Linked DNA regions of Caenorhabditis elegans. The protein of the gene in region 1 interacts with the protein of each later gene in a pairwise test. Each region holds a gene or a part of one and is shown in the gene's direction. Other genes may lie near its edges.

Region 1 (7,208 bases):
CAATTTAAAACATTTAATGAAAGTTAGGCTAAAGAATAAAAGTACAGCTGAAAATTTCTTATAACTCTTAATTTTAATTGTAGCTTGTGAAAATTAGTTATTGGTTCATTATTCCTTTATGCACAATTTCGTTTGACTTTTGTGCACTTTGGATAAAAATGTGTTTTGATTAATTTCAAAACATTTATTACATCGTACCATTTTTGTAAAAAAGTTTAAAAATATTTTCTCTATCACAGCTGCTCTGACCATTATTCTAGTTGACCTTTTCCCAATTCGAACATCCAGCGAACGTTCAACAAAAGTCTGAGCAGATGCTCCTCACAGACACAGAATTTTATAACACTCTTCAGCATGAGACCGAATTTTGATCAGTGTCTGTAGCTTTTTATTGGAAAGCTCTTTTTTTCAATAGTGTATTATATTGGAAAGTATGTAGAAGTAGAAGTTGTTGAATTGAAAATGTCCGCATTTGACAAAACCTTCATAATGTTTTGCTTTTTTTTAAATAATATTATTAAAGTTGGGCAGAATTTTTATATATCATTGAATTCTAAAATCTGAAATCAAAAATCACAAGCGCAAAGAAAATTCGTAATTAACAATTCCACGCTATCGGAGATTCGCTATACATCAAGAAAAATAATTTTTTCGTCGTTCAGGAACTTTTGAAGAACAGACTTTGAGGTTTTTAACTTTATTTAAAAAAATATTAAATCTTAAATTTCCATTAACCGTAATAAAATTTGTATAAAAAATTTTTGTTTCTTAAATTTCAAAACAATTTCGTTGATCTTTTGATTTCAAAAAAAAACAACTAATCAAGATATTTTTGACAACACACTTGATTTGTTGTTTTTTTTTTATCAATAGTTTGTTTTATGCTTCAAAACAGAAATAGGCCAGTTTTAGGCTTGAAGAAGACCACAAAATTTTCTTTTTTAAAAAGTTTTTAAACGCTAGATGTAACATTTTCATGGATATTTCCTTGCTGTTTCATTTTTATATTATATTAGTACTAAGAAAAATGATAAACACCTCAAAAAGACCCACATATAAATTAAGTTTCTTTTAACATTTTTTAAAAAATTATTTTTTTGAGATTTAATATGTTTAGAAATTCTGGAATTTTTCCCCCAAAACCCGCAAAAAATATAGATCCTTTTTGAAATGTGAACTTTCCATGTTATTCCTCTTTTCATGTTTTGATGGCTAATAAATCATAACGAAAATCTCCGCGGACTTCATTTCAATTTCAATTGTTAAATTTCAATTTTCATATTATTCTACAAAAATAAATACTTGATACACTTACTTATATTTCAAAGTCTCTTTTTTACTCTCACATTTACCAATTCTAGACTTGCATACTGTTCGATTGCACACCTCCCCCCTCTTTTGATCTTGTGTTGGAGGCGCCCCCCGCGCGTTCTCTCCCCTCTCTTCTTTTCCGTCTCTCACTCTCTCGTCGCAACGGACCACCATTTTTTGATTCCGTTTCCCTCATTAGTCACTCTCTCTGTTTGTTTTCATTTCAATTTTTACTTTTTAAAGGTTTTGTTTTTATTTTCTGTTTTCTGTTTTCCGACAAACTTTTGACATATTATTTATGAATTGACTGTGCGGTTCTTTTTTAGGTTACGGTAGTTGGTACGGTAGTGTTTTATCAGTAGTGGATACAAAATTTGGAGAAAACCATATTTTCATATTTTATCCTTGAAACCCCTTAAATTTTCGAGCTTACTCCGATACTTTTGATTCTTCCGGAAAATTTAAAAACTACTGAAAATTTTTACATTTAAGTCGCACATTTTACTCTGAAACATTCTGAAATTTTATCATTATATATATATATATGATTTATCTAGTTGAACGTACAGTAATATCATACCTCCAGTAACTATTCATTCTGCTATTTTGTTCGCCATTCCACTCTTCTCTATTCTTCCGTCCCATTCGATTCTGATTCATATTTCGGTGTCAGGGTATCAACACCACCACCACAAATATTTGCAGGCGAAAGTTTTTGCTTTTTTTTTGTTCGCCTCTGCGACCTACTAATATCAAAATCTCCTCATCAAACAGGCCAGCTCGTTGTGCCACTTTTCAGTTAGTCATTTGGTATACAAATAAAAACAAAACCGATAAGATGCAGGGCCTCGAATTACTCGGGTTCTCAGTCAGTTAGTGTCCGTCGGCGGAAATGTGAAATTTTCTAAAATTAGAGAAGATTGGGTTTCGATAATTTTTTTTGTCGGGTTGTGGAAAATTGATTCGTCATGGGTAAAATCGTAGTAAAAGATCTCGAGATATGAAAAAATTGGAATTTTTCTATAAATAAAATGGATTACGGTATAGTACGGTAGAAAAACTACGTTTTCTGATGAAGGTCTGTGAAAATGATTTTCAACAAAATTAGGACCGTATAGGACCGAGCTATTGGATAACTTTTTTCCAGCTTATACAGTAAGAAGTCCAGCAAAGTTTTGATATTTGATGTAATCTCGTTCTGAAAGTAGATAGAATTAAAGTCCACTAGCCACACGTTGCACCTCTGTTTTGGCTTTCACAAATAGTATTATATAACCGTATAAATAAATAATGACATCAGTGTGGACGCTGCTCCAATCCGTAAATCTCGTCCCTCCCCTCACTCCCGCGCGCCTTGTGTTTCCCTCCGGAGAGCAAAACCCAGCGCGGAAACCAAGACGTGTTGAAAAACTAATAGTATGTCTTGAAGAAGCTAAAGCACATGACCATATTTGCTCCATTTCTGTGGGAAGAAGAAGCGATGGATTCAGAGACTCGCGGTTTGGTTGTGTCACGCCTACTTCGGACTGTGCGCACGGCCCGATCGCCGCCCGGTCTCTTGCCTCGCGTCGCTCCCTTCGCCTATCGTTCTCTTTTCGACTGTATGCTGTTTCGCGTCCTCCTCGCTACGACCATATAGACTCAATAGTGGCGACGGACGCGCAAAACACGGCTCTCGGCTCAAAATTTTTCCCCCTCCCCCGCTGAGCTCAACTCGGGATTGTTCGCCACTTTTCGACTGATTATCTCTCGATCAACACCCATACGACCAACAACAACAACAATAGAAAAAAAACAGCTACCAACATCAAAATATTTCACTTTATTCCGTAACTCTACATATTCACGATGGTGCCCTCGCCGGCTCTTGTCGGAACGCCATCAGTGTTTCCACATCATCAGTCTACGTCGTTTTTTCAAGAAACTGCTAGCTTCTTCAATCTAGACTGGGAGCGATTATGGTAAGAATTTTGGGATCATTTTTAAAATTGGAGGTTTTAGAAATTATATTTTTGAAATGGTCAGAACATTTCTCAATTCAAAATTTGAGACTCATTTTTTTCAAGTTCCCAATTGTGCTTAATCTACTAGTACTCAACTATCTTTCTAATAGCCTTCCAACTTTAACTGATCGAACTGTACCTCCTCTTGTGCTTTAGAAACTTTGTATTATTGGTCGTTTTAATCCTCTACGTCAAATTTAATACATTTTTCCTATTTCTGTGCAAAGACTTTGATTCAAGTAATCTATAGGGTGCTTTCCATCAATGTTTGATTTGAGTTTGATGTTTATTTACCAGTTTTAATTTGATCAACTGAACTTGGCCTACTATCCATCAATAGATTAGCCTTTTCTCTTGCCAATTAATTTTTGACTGGCTTTTAATCAAAAATCATTGTTCCAACTCTTCTCTTCATTCTTTTTTTCCTCTAGACAAAGCTCTTCACCCGTTTCGGTCCGTGCGCGGCGCCATTTTTGTTCTTCTCCTCCGATTGGTCATCGACAGTTTCCAAAAATATCCTGGCGCGGCGCCACGGAAAACCGGCGTTTTCCTGTATGCATACAGGAGGAGTGGGGGGGGGGACGAATCTAATTTTGGAACACTAGGTACACAAGCATGATGGCATTCCGTTGGCCGTGTGTCCGAAACCTTGACCAAACCAGGAAATTGTGTGATTGGCATGTTGGCAACGAGTTTTCCCGAGATTGAGAATGGAACAAGGAACTGATCTTCGAGCGCGCGCACAAAGTTAGGGACGACAACGTTCTGTTTGCTCGTGTTGAACTCACCGTGGTTGGTTTTTTTCCCTTGCAGTTTACTGCAGGGGCTAGCTGCTCCGAACGTGACAACACGAGCAAATATACGGGACCGAGGGGTCAGTCAGCGATAAATAGGTCAAGGCTTTGTGTAAATCCTCGAAACGTGGTGGTGGGGTTTGATAACAGTTTGATGAGTCGTGTACAGTTGGTTCGAGTTGAGATGCAGGGGAAGGTGTAAGCAATATTGCTATGTATTATAAATTGAAAGAAAAGGTCGATCCGTTCTTCATGCGCTATGCACTGCGGATCTGGGACTGCCCGGTGGTGCTCCCGCTGGGCTATAATTTAAGCCACGTCCTAGCCGGGGACTGTGGCCGATAATCCAGTTGTGGATTACTCCAATAGTGGCTGGATGTACCTAGGGGTGAGGCCGGACTTGAACTCGTGGCCTCCAGATTGCTTGCGTACCGAAGGAACTATCCTGCCCCTCTGGCTAATTTGAAAAACGCTAACAGCATAAGACATCGCAAACTTTGATCAATGTCGGCTGCTTTTACTATTTCGTTTTTCTATACTGGAAATAAGGTACAAACTGGCAAAGTAATAGTTTTTGCACATTGGCTTTGTAGAATAATAAGACAAGTTTCACTGAGACCTGAACTTTTCATTTTCCGGAGTTTTGATTTTTTGGAAATCGGAATAGTGTTAACAAGTTGTAAAATTTGCCACATTTTCAAAAGAAATTCCTCTAGGTTTAGATTTTATCCTGTTTTCTTTGAGCTACCATATACTATCGTGTCCTCAGGAACTCGTGAAACTTTGTACAAACCCTTTTCTCTGTGCGCTTCAGAAGGTAAAACTTCATAAATTTTCATTTTGTACTCAGATAGATGTAGAAATCGCGGCAAGACCCACTCCAAAAACATCATCGTTCCAAACTATGATAGCTTAAATTTTACCATCAATAGGACGGTATTCATCACAATTGCGACTGCTAACTCGCATCATCAATTGTATCAGCATTGGCATGCAACACACAGGAAAACATGTTTTGTATTAAAGCGGTCGGGTAACCTGTATACATCTCGTTTTCTCTGCCACCCTCCACTCTCTCACCATTTCCACGCGACGTCTTCTACGTGTGGGATATACTACAGAAGAACACAGGGAGAGAGAGAGATAGAGGAGGGAACACCGCCACCACTACGCAACAGTGCACAGGAAGGTCCACACACACCACACCTATCCTCTTCTTCCTTATTTATATCCTTTTTATTGATTGCGTGCGTGTTTGGCAATATCTGACCCCGACCTTTTTTCTTCGCCCTTTTTGTCCTCAGATCGCTTGATCTCACCTCAAAACTGACCGCCGCCATCCGTTCCTGTCAATTACACGTCTCGATGACTACTGACGACTTTTTTAATATTACAATTGGATTTGGTTACGAAAGCCTTTCTTTAGTTTGGAGTTTTTAGGTAATTGAGAAATGATTTTAAATAGGAAGTTTAGCTGAAAGTTTTTAAGTTTAGTTACAAAATTTAAAAAAAAAAAAATTTTTTCACTTGAAGTTTTGGCAACATCAAATTAACGAAATTTTATACATACAATTTGTAGAAAAAAAACATTTGTTTTTTTTGACGGCTTAAATTATGAGTGACTGAGTAATCGTAACTTTTTGACTAAAAATTTGAAAAAAAAAACATTAAAAAAGTTTTACTGTGATATTTGGCCATTTTAGCACAGTAGGTGTAGTCTCCAAAAAATTCACATAAATGTTTTTTTTTGTATTTTTCAATTTTGGTTGATTTAAAATTGAACTGAATATGAAATTTAGAAATTTGTGTAGATCTACAATGTTGAATTCAAAATTATAAACTAGAACAGTTTTTTTTCTGAAAAAATAACAATTATCATTTTTTCCGACAGTTATGATTATTTTTGTTTTAAACAATGTAGAAAGTTTTGAGTGTATTCTGAATAATTTTCAGTGCATCATTTTCAGTCAAACTTTATGTTTTTTCTCAAATCTCAATTAATATTAAAAGTATTCCCCATCCACGTGTCCCTTACAAGAGAACTGTTTTGTTATCTCGCACTATGCAGAGGCGGTGGCTAGTATTAAAACTGATAAGGAAAGCATTCAAAGCTGGAAGAATGACACAACAAGAGATGGCTCGCCCACCTTTTGAAATTTGAAATATTCCGTTAGTATTCCGTTCTTCGTGGAACTTTATAGGAACAGCTCTTTGCATTTTTATTTCATTTTGTATTGTGTTTTTCGACCATTGCAATGTTGACAATGATGGGGTGGAAGGAGGTTTTGTTAATTAAAATTAAAGATGACGCCTTGCGTGGTGTCAGCGGCTACTTGATTTCTCCCCGTAGCTTTTTTCTTTGCGTTTTTTTTTTTCAGTTTAAGACTTTTCTCTCTTCTGTGCTACCCAAAAAGTGATTGGATAGACTTCCGGTTTGACTATTGACATTTTTACTCATCAGTGCTCTCCTTGGCCAGCATTACTTTGTACAATAAAAAATGGCATTTTCATGACGCTGATGACTCTTTCCATTCGCGTTTTCCAATTTCTATATGTTCGATCATTGAAATATGTTTTTTTTTCAGGCATTCGCGTTCAAACTCGAATTCAACGTCGTCGCCACGCAACTCGCCGTCCCAATTGTCACCGCCGATGGCAGCCACTGCAGCGCTACGTCGGAGTTCGGATTACGGTAAGAACGGTTTTTCAAAAAAGTTTTATAGACTTTTGAATTTTGATATGCAGTTCTAAAAACAGAGACACTTACGTTAATAGAAATAACTTTTTTTGAACTTTCTTTTTAGTTTTCGTTCAAATTGGCCCCTCTAATTTTATCTAAAACTAATAAGGACTATACTTAAAAACAGAGTTCTAATAGTTTAAGCCTACGTGTCTAAGCCTGAAGACTTTCTAAGCCTAATTTATACTCAGGCCTACCAATTCACGATTTTCTACCAGAATTATTTTTTAAATTCAAAATTCTGTATTTACGAGAAATATTTGAATGTTTTCAAAAAATAATTTCTACAAACGAAACTATAGGAAAAAATGTGCCGCACCCTGAAAAATGTAAACAATATTGTCGTGGCGAGACCCAATT
Region 2 (7,045 bases), 810 kb from region 1:
CGCACAGCAGGCCTCCGGCCTGCAATGCCTGAAGTATATGTTCAAAGTGAACTTCTTCTTAGAGTTAAAGTGCCTTTCTATTGTTTTTTTTTGGAAAGAAAACATTTTCCAGCCACCCGCACGCATGCAGCCTTTTGTGAGGAGAGGCGGCCTGTGAGGAGTCATGCACTAAAACTTCAATCCGTCATAACTTTGCTCATAGTAGGAGTTTGAGAAAAATTAAATAATTGTTGAAATTGGCGTAAAAAGTAGAATAATACGGCGGTTATTATGTTTAAAAATAACAAAAATTGAAACATATCACCTTCTGGGAAGGCCTGGAAGCTCAAAACTTCCACAAATGTGCTGAAAGTTGTCAAGACCGACCAAATTTAGTTTGTCTACCTTGCTTCAATGAAAATTATCAAAATTAAAACATCAAATCGAAAGGATAGTTGAAAACTTGTCCAGGAACAGAGGAAAACTGGATTTCCATGTGCAAAAATTAAATAACCTATCTCTGCGAAAAATGATCGGATCAAGCTGTGATTTGAGATTTCATTTTATTTTATTCTATTAATTCTAAATTTAACATAAAAACCGGAACGATAGTGGAAAGTTTGTGAATTTTATGGAAAAATGTAAATTGTTTGAAAGAAGTGTTCATTTTTTCTATTTTTGAGACTATTATTTACCTTTTTTGAAACAAAAAATTATATTTTCCGCTTCCTCTCGATGTGATGAACATTTTTCCAAAAAAAAATTTGAAAAAGGAGCAAGACTAACGGAGATATGACCGAAACAATGGTGAAAATGTGGCCGAAAACACACCAAATATGAAAAGGGGAGGTGGGTGTGTGTGTGAGAAAAGGGGGGAGGTGCAGAAATTTTGGCAAAACTTTAATTATCGTTTTTAAAATAACGAATAGAGATATCACAATGAACTTAGATACAATGGATAGGCATTGAAAAGGAGAACTTAAGTTTCGAGTCTCAAACGTTTTGAACATAAACTCGAATTTTCCTTCAATTTAAAGTGGTTTTCGGCCAGTACTTCGGTGTGCGCAAAAACAAGAGGGTGTGGTTTTCCGCTTGTGGAGCCGACAGGATGCTCCAAAATCAACCCCCTTTTAGATGAACACACGTCGCTATACTTTGTGAATGTAGAGAAAAAAGAATTTCAAAAATCGGTTCCGTGAGAGCCGAGATATAAACGTTCAAAGTTGTATTACACATTTTTCGGACATTTTTTGAACATTTTTTGAACACCGAAAACGCGTGTGTGTGGCAAGATGGGGGTTTTAGGAAGGAGGCAGACAAAAAAATTTGCCGAACGGAAGAGCCTCTCGTCCCTAGTCTGAATCTCACTGTTTGAATTTTGTTTAGACATTTCCCAGAGTTTGGACATGAATCTAATGACGATTCAAGTATCGTTTTCATTTTTTTTGCAATTCAAGTTAAAACATAATAAAACCAATCACGAAAATGCCTCCTACGCATTTATATCAAATTATGACTCATTTGGTCTCCTTCAGTGGAAATTAGCTATTTAAAACGGTGATTAAAATGCTTGAAAGTAAACCAAAAAAAAGTCATAAATGTTTTGAAGTGTTTTTTTTTAATTTTTACGTCTGTTTTCTTTAAATAATTTTCCTTTAGACTTGTTTAGATTGCTAAAAATGGATTAGGCACATTTTCCAAAGTTCATGGCACAGCTATAGCGAATTGAAGTTACTAATTAGAGTTTTAATATTATTATTTATGAAACAAATTTTTTAAGAACACATATTTTCTGTGAAGAGTTCATTTTAAAATTAGCTATCCATTTGAATATTGTTTTACGATTGTTTGCCGAAAATTATTCCAAAAGTTCCGAGACTTTTAGTTTCTATAGTTCGGATTATTCTGAATTCTGAACTAAAATTTTCAAATGTACAACTTTTCATGTTAATTCAAAAAATGACTCGTTTGCGCTGCTTTTGTGACAGCTGCATATTTGAAACACTGATAAAACTACGTTTTTTATTTAAGTCTGCAAAAATTGAAGTTAAAAAAATAAATCTTTGTTTTGGAAAAAAATTCAGTATTAGTATTAAATATTTCGATTTTTAACTGTGTACTTTTTTCTTTTAAAACCCTCTTTTTTTAAAATTATTTTTTAAAATAATTTTTGTATTTAATAACAGATCAGGCAAACAAATTGTTAAGAATTAATAGAAATTAAACTTCTGAGCTGCAGTTTCAGATTTGTTTGAAGTTATTGAACAAAAATCAAAATTCCGAAACGTTAAGTTGACCTCTATTCAAAAAACAAACAAAACTCCCTCATCTAAACGTGTTGTTATGGTCAGTGCGCAGTGCGCAGGTGTGGATTTACGAGCGGCCGAGGGGTCGGGTCTCGACGGGAAACCCCTTTCGCCTGAGTCTCTGCCCCTGCATATCGCTACGTGGTTGACCGGCTGAGAGGGGGAAAGTGTTCACTGCATAGCATATTTCCGTTTTCATAAACCTTTTACGGTTTAAATTCATCAGTTTTAGCTCGTTTCGCTTCAAATTTCTCATTTTCGTCTCCTTTTTTTTTCGTTTTCTACTGCTCAGTTGTTCGTAAAGCGAGGAGAGACAATCGATGAGAAAAAGAGACACAGATGCGGCCCAAATGTTGCATTTCTCCTCTTTTCCGTGCCTTACACCCGTTCTCCTATCGATTTTTGTCCCTGCGTGGCAGTGACCACATCTCTTCCGTTATTTTGTCTCGTGTTCGTGTTCCTCTTGCGAGAAGTTTCATTTATAATTTTTTTAAAATAAAACTTGATTTAATTTTAGAAAAATTACAGAAAAATGTCGGACTTTGGTAATCCGTTGAAGAAATTCAAGCTTGTGTTCCTCGGGGAACAAAGTGGTGAGTATTTTGATTGAAATTCTACCGTAGATATTGAATTCTCAAGTTTCTAAATTTCAGTCGGAAAAACCTCCCTAATCACTCGCTTCATGTACGACTCCTTCGACAACACCTACCAGGCCACCATCGGAATCGACTTCCTGAGTAAGACCATGTACTTGGAGGACCGAACCGTAAGAAATCAGTTTTTGCGTAAAGAAATGATTTCAAAATCCGTAATTTCAGGTTCGTCTTCAACTTTGGGACACCGCTGGACAGGAACGTTTCCGCTCACTCATCCCATCCTACATCCGTGATTCTACAGTTGCTGTTGTGGTTTATGACATCACCAGTAAGTTTGGAAGAAGTTTTTCTGATGTTTCATGCTGTAAAGCTTCACACTGGATCCTCTGGGAGAAATTTTTTAACTATAGTAGTGTATATAGTAGTAACTATAATAACTATATTGGTTTAATACTACAATAGTCACTGGCAGCTCTAATGCGAAAAGCTTCTAGCAAGAAGAGAAGCTCAAAAAACAATTTATATTGATAGAAAAGTTAGAATCCAAAAGGAAACCATTATTTTTTGTTTAATCTTGATTTTGAACTAGGGTGGGCAATGAAAAAACTCTCGGTAACGACAAAAAAGCTTCATTTAACCCCAACTTTTTTGCAGACTCCAACTCTTTCCATCAAACTTCCAAGTGGATTGACGACGTCCGTACTGAGCGTGGAAGTGATGTAATCATCATGTTGGTCGGCAACAAGACCGATCTTTCCGATAAGAGGTTCGAATGAGAGTTTCCGCTAAAAATTCAATTAAATTGTGTAGTGGAAACGGCGGAATATGCATTTAAGTAGCTCCAGGCTGAAGTTTTAATCGGCATAACTTTCAGTATGAAATCTTGGCTAGCTTAAAACCTTCTCTAAAGATATTGTTTGGAGATAGGAAATAGCTTTAACTGAAATTACGTTAACATAAATTGGATCTGCACTAACTTGAACTAGCTTCAACTGGACCTACCTCAAGTTTATTTTTTATAATCAGAGCCTACGCTTTTCAAGCCCAAGCTCTCTATCTCCAGCTCATCCTTAAACACAATTCAGTTGAACCTACTACATAAGCTACATAAGCTGAATCTCCCATAATTTGATTTTTCCTGAGCAAAATCTACGTTACATTAGGCTAAAAATGCGCATTCTAAACAGAATTAGTTCAAGCTAAACTTACCTTGCGCTGGCCTGTTTCGAGCTGATCTTGCGTGGTCTTAGCTGAACTATCTTTTTCTGAAACCTGTTAACCTAACTAATAAACTCAATGTGTAATGCTCCAGGTCTATTAATTTGTAACTGACATAAGACTTACATATTTTGTTCAGGCAAGTCACCACCGACGAAGGAGAGAGAAAGGCCAAGGAGCTTAATGTGATGTTCATCGAGACTTCTGCCAAGGCCGGCTACAATGTGAAGCAGCTTTTCCGTCGTATCGCCGGAGCCCTACCAGGAATCATCAAGGACGACCCAGTGGAGCCACGTAAGTTTTAAAAACCTTTTTAACTTCAAAAAGCCATGATTTTTTTCAGCAAATGTGGTCACGATGGACCCAATCCGTCAGCGTCAAATTGTCACCGACGAGGGATCGTGCTGGTGCTAATCTCTTTGTATTCCTGAGCAAAATGTCAAAAAAAGGTTGTGATACTCCAATCTCAACGCATAATTTATTTAAAGCATCCTCCGCCCCCGTAATGGTTTTGTCATGAAGAAATATTAATTATCCCCCTTAAAAGCGCTATCGCCAGTAAGTTTTGATATCTTAAAATTCCCCAAAAACATTATCGATTTTTTCTGTGTGAATGAACTCTGAATGGCTTCTTCTCTATTAACTTATGCGATGGTAAACATGTGTAATTTTCTTTGTAACATAATAAATTATTATTATTTTAAATTTTTTGCTTCTTATTTTTGCTTGGCTAATTTTAAGTGTGATAATGATTTTTTTTTGTTTTCATTTTTACTCTCCCAACATCTCTGTTCTCGAATAAATCTTCTCCGCTTTTGGTGTTAGACTAGCAGCAGTAGATCACGAAAAATGATGGGGAGGTGGAAGAAAAGACGAAAAGCAACGCAGTTTTAATCAAATATTGACTTTGTGCTTTTCGGTTAAGAATGAGCTGCTATCCTGAAAAGCAACACAATGAGGAAGAGCAACATATTTGGCCCGGAAAGATATATGTGAAACGTTGAAGTGAAGTTGGTGGAAATAAAGACAAAAAATTCATAATGTTGTTCAAAAATCGTCGTTTGCACATTGTAGATTTTTGATGAAACTAGCCCATTTTGGAATAATTTCAGATGTTTAAAAAAAAAAAGTCTTTCAGTTAAATAGCTACAAGTTCCAGATTCCAATTCAGTTGTTTCAGTTCAAGATTGTTAAAATTTCTTAAAATTTGTTCCGCTCAATGCCGTGCGGAAAATATCGGTACGACGACACGAAAACGGGCAAAAGTACTTGTACATTTTAGTGACGTAAATTGTAGTTCATTTATGCAAAATTTATACGCAAAACTATACCCGTACGAAAGATACAACTCCGTGAAAGGTATCGTCACTTAACGGTTTTAATTTAAACCGTTATTTTTTCAAATTAAACTCATATGCCTACTATTTCAAAGAAATAACAAATTTAATTTATTTCAATCCTCCCTTTCAAAAATTTATCTACTCAGTGCTTGGTTAATTTGAGTGCTGATAGTTTCTGTATTTGTTAAATCATCCCATTTCAGGAGAACATCACAAAGCGTGTCCAGGTGTGTAGCGTCCGGAAGTTGAAGCCCCACAATGATCACCTGAAAAACTAGCAGATGGAAATTTCACATTTTTGTGTCTTACTTTTCCATTCTGTCGCAAAGTTTGTGAATTCATCAGTGATGCAGTGATTTCAGCAGGTGTTCTGAAAAAGTGAAAAAATTTTCAAGAAAACTTCATTTTGGAAACATACGCCCCAGAAGTGAAGATTACGGAGTTCATCTTTCCAAAGGATTTTAGCGGGTTGGCGCGGTTGACAGCCATATTGAATGCCCTAAAAGAAGCTAGAGTATTTGATTATGTTTTTTTTCCTTAATCTTGTGATGATAGCATATTTGTCAATAAATTCTGAATTGTGGGCGCTCAAATTTTAATTAATTGAAACTACCTTTGAGGCGGAGATCTAAGCTACTTTGAAAAACGTTTTCAAACCTTTGTACTGCACCACGCATGTTAACTCAATTTTTTAAAACGTTTTTTACACTTTAACTGTAATTTTTTTGCCAAAAACTCACGAAACAATACTCGGCTGATCCTTGAACGGTGTGAAGCTATCAACAATGCTGACAAACTCATCTTTGGTTTGCAAGTCACCAAAACTAAAATTTATTCTGTACGCTCACAACTCAAAATTGTAAATTTACTTGATGGGGTCCAGGTTCTTCACCAGTGTATTAAATCCCATTACTGATGTTCTTTCGAAATGATTCCACGTGGCGATAAGATCAGTTTCAGCTAATTTTTTCTGATTTGAAAGCTGAAAAGTTTTCATAAATAGTAAAACAAAATTAAAAGAAAAAACTCACAGCTGTCCCATATGCTTCGAACAAGAGGAGGATATTGGATGTTTTTGGAGAACAATCGTGGCATGGATTTGGCACTTGAAACATTACATTTGAACAAAAAACTAAATAAAAACTGACTCGAAGTAGTACTTGGCATAATCTGAGTAGTTGTAACCGCTACAGTTGTTTGAGCTGCTGATGACGTGGCACCACTAGTTGAAACGATTGTTGTGGGAGTGATTGGCGGGGATTTTGTAGATGGCGTGCAGAGAAGACTGTTTATCTGAAAAAAATAATAGTTATTGATAATATTTTTGAAAATAAGTAGCTAGGTGTTAGTGAAAAATTTCGAATGGAAAAAAAACTTCGTACTCTTTAGATTTATGCATATAAAGTTTTTGACAAGCTTTTTATTAAATTACCTGATCGAAAATATCTGTTGTCAATGTTTTCGTATAGACCACATTTCCAGTAAGTTGCTTCAAAACGGTTTGATCGGCACCTCCAACGGCTACAATGATCAAGTTCCCTCCAATTTGAGTCACATATTCGATGGCGGTTTGAACATCAGAGTAACTACTGTAAAATATGTGACG
Region 3 (6,385 bases), on another chromosome or scaffold:
GGAGCCACGTGAAATCTTGGCCTCGCGAGTAGGCGAGCATCCAAGTAAGCTCGTCGAGCAAAGCGCTCAATGCGAGAGCCTGTGCTCGCTCTTTTGGAGTCAGGCCCGAGTCCAGAGACTGGAAGAATATTTAAGCTTTTTCTAAAATTCTAGTTTTAAGCCAACTTTTCCATATTTGGCGAGCAGATAATCAAGTCCTTCCATCAAATTTTTGAAGAAATACCCATCGACATCAATCAATGGGTATAGGTGCTCACGAGGGAGTACATTGTAGAGAGAACATTGCGTTGTCTGGATTTAAATCTGGACTATGTTTATTAACCTAAATGCTCTCACTTCATAGGGAATTAGCTTGCTCCGAAGAAAAGTTTCTAGAAATAAACAGGATGGAGCATAGTAGGGAACAGTGACTGTTCTCGGGAGAGTAGTCAGCAAAGCGGTTTTACGATTCATCTGAATGATGAGACGCTTCATGAAATGCGAGATGAGTCGAGCCAAGACGATCACGTTTCATGATTATTTATGCACATAATTAAACAACGTCAAACAATAACGATTTATCCGGAAGGAAGGTATGAACAACAAACAAGTTAGACCATTTTTCGGAGAAGGTTGTTGATTTGATCTTCTCTGTTTCCGAAGTCTCCTCCTTCAACGAAGTGGTTGGTCTTCTTGGTCCATCCTCCAGTTGGGTTGTTGAGCTTGAAGGGCCACAAGAAGTTGGTGGCCTCCTTGAAGTGTGGTCCGACGGTGGCGATCTCGTGGGCCAAATCCTCAAGACAGATGATGTTGAACTTTCCTGAAAACAATTAAATAAGAATTAAAAAGCATAAGTTTTCAAATTACCGAGGCTCTGCTCGACGATGGTGTTGTCGGTGATTGGGACACGGTTTCCGTCAACCTTGGCGTATCCGCGCTTGTAGAGGAGATCGTGGATGGTCTTGTTGTTTGGATAACCCCAAGCTACGTATGGCTCGATGATACGGAGAAGTGGAAGAGTAGCCTTGTTCAGCTTGACGAACACTCCGTTGTTGATCTGACGAAGACGGAGGATCTGGAGAGCCTGAAAACAAAGAATGGTTATTAAAAAACTCATTAACACAATTTCACCTTTCTTGGCTTTGGATGAAGCTGGTTGATACCGCGAATTCTGACGACGAAGGCGACCTTGTGCTCAGCTGGAACGTAGAAGTCTCCCTTGGCCTCAGCCTCGCGCTTGAGTCTGAGTCCTTCCTTTTGGGCGTTTCTGTACTCCTGGACGTATTTCTCAGCACGCTTGAAGTATTGGGTCTTCTTCTCCTTGTTCTTCTGTAAAAAATTTTATTTTTAATGCAGGATTAGTTCAAATTAATTTTCAAACACCTAAAAGAAAATTTAAACTTTAAAATTTCGAATTGTCATCGTGTTATTGAGACGCATTCTGAATTGAATACACCTCACCCAAAAACAAGATAATTCTTATAGCTCAGTTTTGACGGCTGGCTTGGATAATAGTGGATCCTAAAACCAGTGCTTTTGAAGAGCATTTTCTGTTTTCTGACAGTTAAATAAACTTACAGCGGCGACGGTCACCTTGTGTTGAGCAGCCTTGGTGCGGGCATCGGCTCTCTGCTTTCTGCGCTTGAGCACAGTTTCTGGAACCTGTGGCACTTTCTTTCTGAAAAACCAAGAATTAATATCAAAATTGAAGTATTTGAAAGTCAGGCCTAAAAGTAAATTTCAATCTAATATAAATTTATAAAGAAAACTTACGTTGGAGCCATTATAGGCGATTGATTACCTGGAAAATCAAAATATTAATCAGAAAAGAAAATTATAAGATATTGAAACAGAGGAGCAAGTTTTCAAAACTAAATTATTTCAGTATTTTTCGAATGTTCAGCATTTTCTTCACGAAAACTATAAAAAACGCGTATCAGAATTACGGGAAATTAGTTCTAAAATTTATTCTGATGAAAATTTAAGAAAATCAATGAAAAATGCTCTGAAAAAACGGAAAAATTCGTTAGGCCAAAAAGAAAAAAATGTAAAATTGAGATTCCGTTGCGCCGCTGCGAAAGGGGTACGGTAGTTGTCGTGCCGAGACCCGAGGAGGCTTGCGCTGCGGCTAGCGTCGCGTACCCTCAGACCGACGTGGCTGCGCCGGTGCGCCTGACCTGTTTTACGTTCGATTTTATGGGTTTCACACGCATTTCGCGTTCGGAAAAGCTTATTCTGGATGTTCACAGCCATAAAACTAATTATTTTTTTCAATTTTTAGCTGAAATTATCAAAAAAGAACACCCAGAGAAAGCTTTCCCTTGTTAAAAATATCCTGTTCAACTATTTCGAAATCGTGTCGACAAACAAAGTTCGGCCGCTCACCTTCCCTTTTTCGGGTATGATAAGCCTCAAATACTCTTTCATAACACACTTCTATATACATTTTCACATTTTTCTTCTGACTAACCACCCTCATATATTGATAAAATTCAATATAAAACTCCCAACTCCATATACTTTGAATCATTCTTAAATCAAGTTCACTTATATTTTTTCAATCCCCGTCGAGATAGACAACCGGTTCCTGACTCCGCGTTTGTGTCGGGAACAGAACATAAAAATATTCTCCGCCGATAAAACAGTGTCTCGTTCTTTTAATATCGATTTTACAACAAAACATTGCGCCCGGCTGATGAATCATGTGACCAATGCCCTTTTTCTTTTTTACAATCGTCCCAATATATACACAACTTTCAAACAAGCTTTATCATTTTACAGCTCAGCAGTAAAGATGGGCTCTCGTGACGATGAATACGACTACTTGTTCAAGGGTAATTTTGTTTTTCATTTTTCAATTCCCAAACGAAAAATTGTTTCAGTTGTTCTGATTGGAGACTCAGGCGTCGGAAAGTCGAATCTCCTGTCTCGTTTCACAAGAAATGAGTTCAACTTGGAATCAAAATCAACAATCGGAGTCGAGTTTGCCACGAGAAGCATCTCGGTGAGGAACTTCATTAGAATACACTTATGATTCAAATTATTATTTTTGTAGGTAGAAGGCAAGACAGTGAAGGCTCAAATTTGGGATACTGCTGGACAGGAACGTTACCGTGCCATCACATCCGCTTACTATCGTGGGGCTGTCGGAGCTCTCCTAGTCTACGACATCGCTAAGCATGTGACGTACGAGAATGTTGAGCGATGGTTGAAGGAGCTTCGTGATCACGCCGATCAGAACATTGTGATTATGTTGGTCGGAAACAAGAGCGACTTGCGCCATTTGCGTGCAGTTCCAACAGACGAGGCCAAGATCTACGCCGAAAGAAATCAATTGTCGTTTATTGGTAAGTTAAACTAATCTATTGCGTTTATATATTTTTTTTTTTCAGAAACATCTGCCCTCGACAGCACCAACGTTGAAGCAGCTTTCACTAATATCCTGACGGAAATCTACAAATCAGTATCCAACAAGCATGTAGGAACTGACAGACAAGGATATGGCGGTGGCAGTGGTACAATCATTCCTTCGCCAGCGTCCGACCCACCAAAGAAGCAGTGTTGCATCCCATAAATCACATCGTGTTTTTTTTTTTCAGTCTAACGTGTGTATTTTTCGAAATGCCTTGTCCATTTAATTTACTGCCCCCGAAATCCAAATGATTCGCTCTTAACATCCGCGAGTTTTATCGAATTCTTGCAAGCACTGCGTTTGCAAGTCTTCACCGTTTTGGTGTGTAGTATTTGTAACTTTCTTTCAGATTTATTTGTAATTGCCTCCATCCCCACCCCTTCCCCCTCCCCCCCCTCCGAACCTATACATTCGTCCCTTTTTCTTCAGAAGATTGTGATCTGAGTTGAGTGGTGCTGCTTTCTTACCATTTATCCGACTCAAGATTGTATGCCAACTTCAGCGACGTATTTTGAATATTTTTTCTTCACCCTTATTCAATATTATTCTGGCCCACCCCCACCCAATGTGTATATTACCTAAACTATTTTGGTTATTCGTAATGTGTGTCTCTTGTAGAACTCGATACCGAGAAACCCTCGCCAAGAAAGCAACGAAGACATATGCACATTGTTTTTAATCGAGTTTTATTTATTTCGCAATTTTTTTCCAAATAGTCATTTTCCATGAATAAATAAATATATCTAATTGATCTCCTATTTTGTGAAACATTTTCACTAAACGCTTGTACCAAATCACGTCCAGTTTTTTTATTTTGAATTCAAAATGAAAATCCGCATTTTCGCGCCGAGACCACTACAGTAACCTAAGGCCTAAAAATGTGCATTTTTGCGTGTTATTCTATGCATTGTCCGTACAGCGTTTCCATTTGAATTTTTTGAAGTTTTCCGATAAAAAAAAAGAAAAACTCCAAAAAAAAATTTCCCATTGAAAAATGTCGAAAAAAGAGACGCAGAGAAAGCGCTGCAAGACCCCACATCTGTGTGTTTGTCCTTCCTCAATCCTCCGGCTCTCTCGTCGCCTCGCCGTCTCTTTCAAATTCTCCATCTCTCCTCCCGTCTCTCTTAGTTGTTCTGGTGTATGCTTGCGTGCGTGCGTTGCGGACTACAAATCAGGACTTTTTCAAATTTATTTTAATGCTTGTTTAATTTTTAATTTTCCACCCCGTTAATTATTCTTATTTTCAATTATTAAATTGCAGAAAAATGTCCGAGAATCCTGAAAATTCGGGAGAATTGGCAGAAAATCAGGAAGAAGTTGATCAAGAGCTTGTGCAAAATCCAACAGAGCCCCAGCAAAATCCAGAGCCGGCCGAAGAGCCCCAGCAAAATCCAGAGCCTGCCGCAGAGCCCCAGGATCCAGCCACAAAATCTCGTCCACGTCGAAATGCTCGGAAATCCGTGCTCTACAACAATGAAGACTACGAGTTGGGCATCCCAAAGGAAGAAGCGCTCGCCTCTGCATCAACAAGCTCGATCGCAGCTCCAAAACGCTCCAGGACGGAGGAAAGTACGGTTCGAAACGCGAAAAAGAGAAAGCCAGCGCCACATTTGGAGGAGCTCACCGCCGGAGAGCTCGGAGAGCCCATCTTCGCCGGCGACGACTCGATGCTCCACGCAGAGACGGAGGTCATCGTAGAGGATGAGCCGCCAATTCTGAACCTTTCCCGATATCGAGACGAGGATCGCATACAAATGGACCCGTTCGGTGATGATGAGGAGGAGGACGACGGGTTTATGGATGGGCAACCACCGGATTTGGAAATGAATTTGTGGGGGATTTTTTATTTAAAAAATCTTTAAAATCGAAATTTTCCAGGCCCAGCAAACAGCGACGTGTCCGAACACGCAAGCCAATGGATACCGATGGGTCTATCGACGATGGGGATAAGGAGAAGAAGGCGATGAAAATTATAAATCCGGCGGCGGCGACACCGTCGAAAATGTTCCGAGTTCAAGGAGAACGAGTTATCAGTAAAGCTCTTGCTGAAAGGCAGTACCACGTGAAATTGGTAGGGGCTTACATGGAAAAGCTTCAAAGTTTTATGGGAATTCTTCGGAAAATGTTCGAAATAACTAGAAAGACTAAAAAATGTGCCCAAAAAACCAATTTTGTAATGAGAATTGTCTCCAAAAATGGGCTCCAGTTTCGCTTCAAGTTCTTTTTTTTCTGTTTTTGTCTTATTTACCTAATTTTAATAGCTTTTTTCACGTGTTTTTAGTCATCTGGAGTGCATTTAATGCCTATTTGGCCAAATTTGGCTCAAAATATTCAAAATCAACGGTTAGTTTTAGCTGAAGTCTCCAATTTCCCGTGCCGTAGGGGTCGTAAATTTATGATTTTTTATTCGATTATTACTTAAAATTTGCCTTTGAGCCGCCATAAAAAGGGCGTTTTTTGAGCCTACGGGAGAAAAAAAAACCTTCAAATTTTAATCAAAATCCTTCAGAAAATGCCGAAAAATCAATTTTTCAGTTAAAAATCATAAAAATCATCGAGAAAGTCGGATTTTATCGTTTTTTTTTTTCAATTCTATAATTTTTGCAGTTCGAAGATGAAGTTGAAATGACGGAAAACGGTGATTGCTACGCCACAGTGATATCAGGCTGCCTGGCCTACCTTCTCAGAAAGGAACGAATAATTGAGCTGCTCACCAACGAGACCGAAATTGCAATGATGTACGGAGACAGTGAAAAAAGGAGAAAATTTCAGCAATTTTATTGTGAAAATTGGAATTTATATCAAAAATCAGGCAGAAATAGCCAGAAAAAGTCATTTTTCGCACTGGAAATTAGCAATTTTCAGTGATAAATCTAAATATCTTGTTTTGAAAAAAAAAAATTTTTTTCGAAAAAATACATTTTTCGCCAGAACCACAAAAAATTGAACTATTTTTTACTATAGTTTTTAGAGAAAAAAAAATATAAGAAAAAA

Evidence for each region. The genes of interacting proteins can lie anywhere in the genome.
Region 2: the proteins of eat-17 (region 1) and rab-6.2 interact in a two-hybrid assay, tested with the Caenorhabditis elegans proteins (one study listed by BioGRID).
Region 3: the proteins of eat-17 (region 1) and rab-11.1 interact in a two-hybrid assay, tested with the Caenorhabditis elegans proteins (one study listed by BioGRID).

What each region holds. Positions count from the first base shown.
Region 1 is NC_003284.9:16,412,792-16,419,999, reverse strand, and holds the start of eat-17 (Rab GTPase-activating protein eat-17), read left to right. Parts: upstream 1-3,159; coding exon 3,160-3,272; intron 3,273-6,693; coding exon 6,694-6,800; intron 6,801-7,208. UniProt on the Caenorhabditis elegans protein: Rab GTPase activating protein for the small GTPase rab-6.2. Required for grinder formation, which is the feeding organ that breaks down food.
Region 2 is NC_003284.9:17,219,662-17,226,706, forward strand, and holds rab-6.2 (Ras-related protein rab-6.2), read left to right. Parts: upstream 1-2,813; 5' UTR 2,814-2,817; coding exon 2,818-2,878; intron 2,879-2,938; coding exon 2,939-3,051; intron 3,052-3,103; coding exon 3,104-3,209; intron 3,210-3,535; coding exon 3,536-3,647; intron 3,648-4,238; coding exon 4,239-4,393; intron 4,394-4,442; coding exon 4,443-4,513; 3' UTR 4,514-4,804; downstream 4,805-7,045. Other genes in the region: T25G12.6 (VWFA domain-containing protein), read right to left, coding at 5,574-5,705, 5,749-5,809, 5,858-5,938, 6,180-6,263, 6,309-6,421, 6,471-6,544, 6,588-6,732, 6,872-7,028. UniProt on the Caenorhabditis elegans protein: The small GTPases Rab are key regulators of intracellular membrane trafficking, from the formation of transport vesicles to their fusion with membranes.
Region 3 is NC_003279.8:106,433-112,817, reverse strand, and holds rab-11.1 (Ras-related protein rab-11.1), read left to right. Parts: upstream 1-2,760; 5' UTR 2,761-2,773; coding exon 2,774-2,813; intron 2,814-2,861; coding exon 2,862-2,983; intron 2,984-3,034; coding exon 3,035-3,326; intron 3,327-3,371; coding exon 3,372-3,553; 3' UTR 3,554-4,144; downstream 4,145-6,385. Other genes in the region: F53G12.9 (GST_C_6 domain-containing protein), read right to left, coding at 1-118, 166-291, 337-453; rpl-7 (Large ribosomal subunit protein uL30), read right to left, coding at 591-799, 847-1,063, 1,111-1,308, 1,558-1,657, 1,753-1,763; Y48G1C.8 (DUF7747 domain-containing protein), read left to right, coding at 4,657-5,222, 5,270-5,462, 5,999-6,129. UniProt on the Caenorhabditis elegans protein: The small GTPases Rab are key regulators of intracellular membrane trafficking, from the formation of transport vesicles to their fusion with membranes.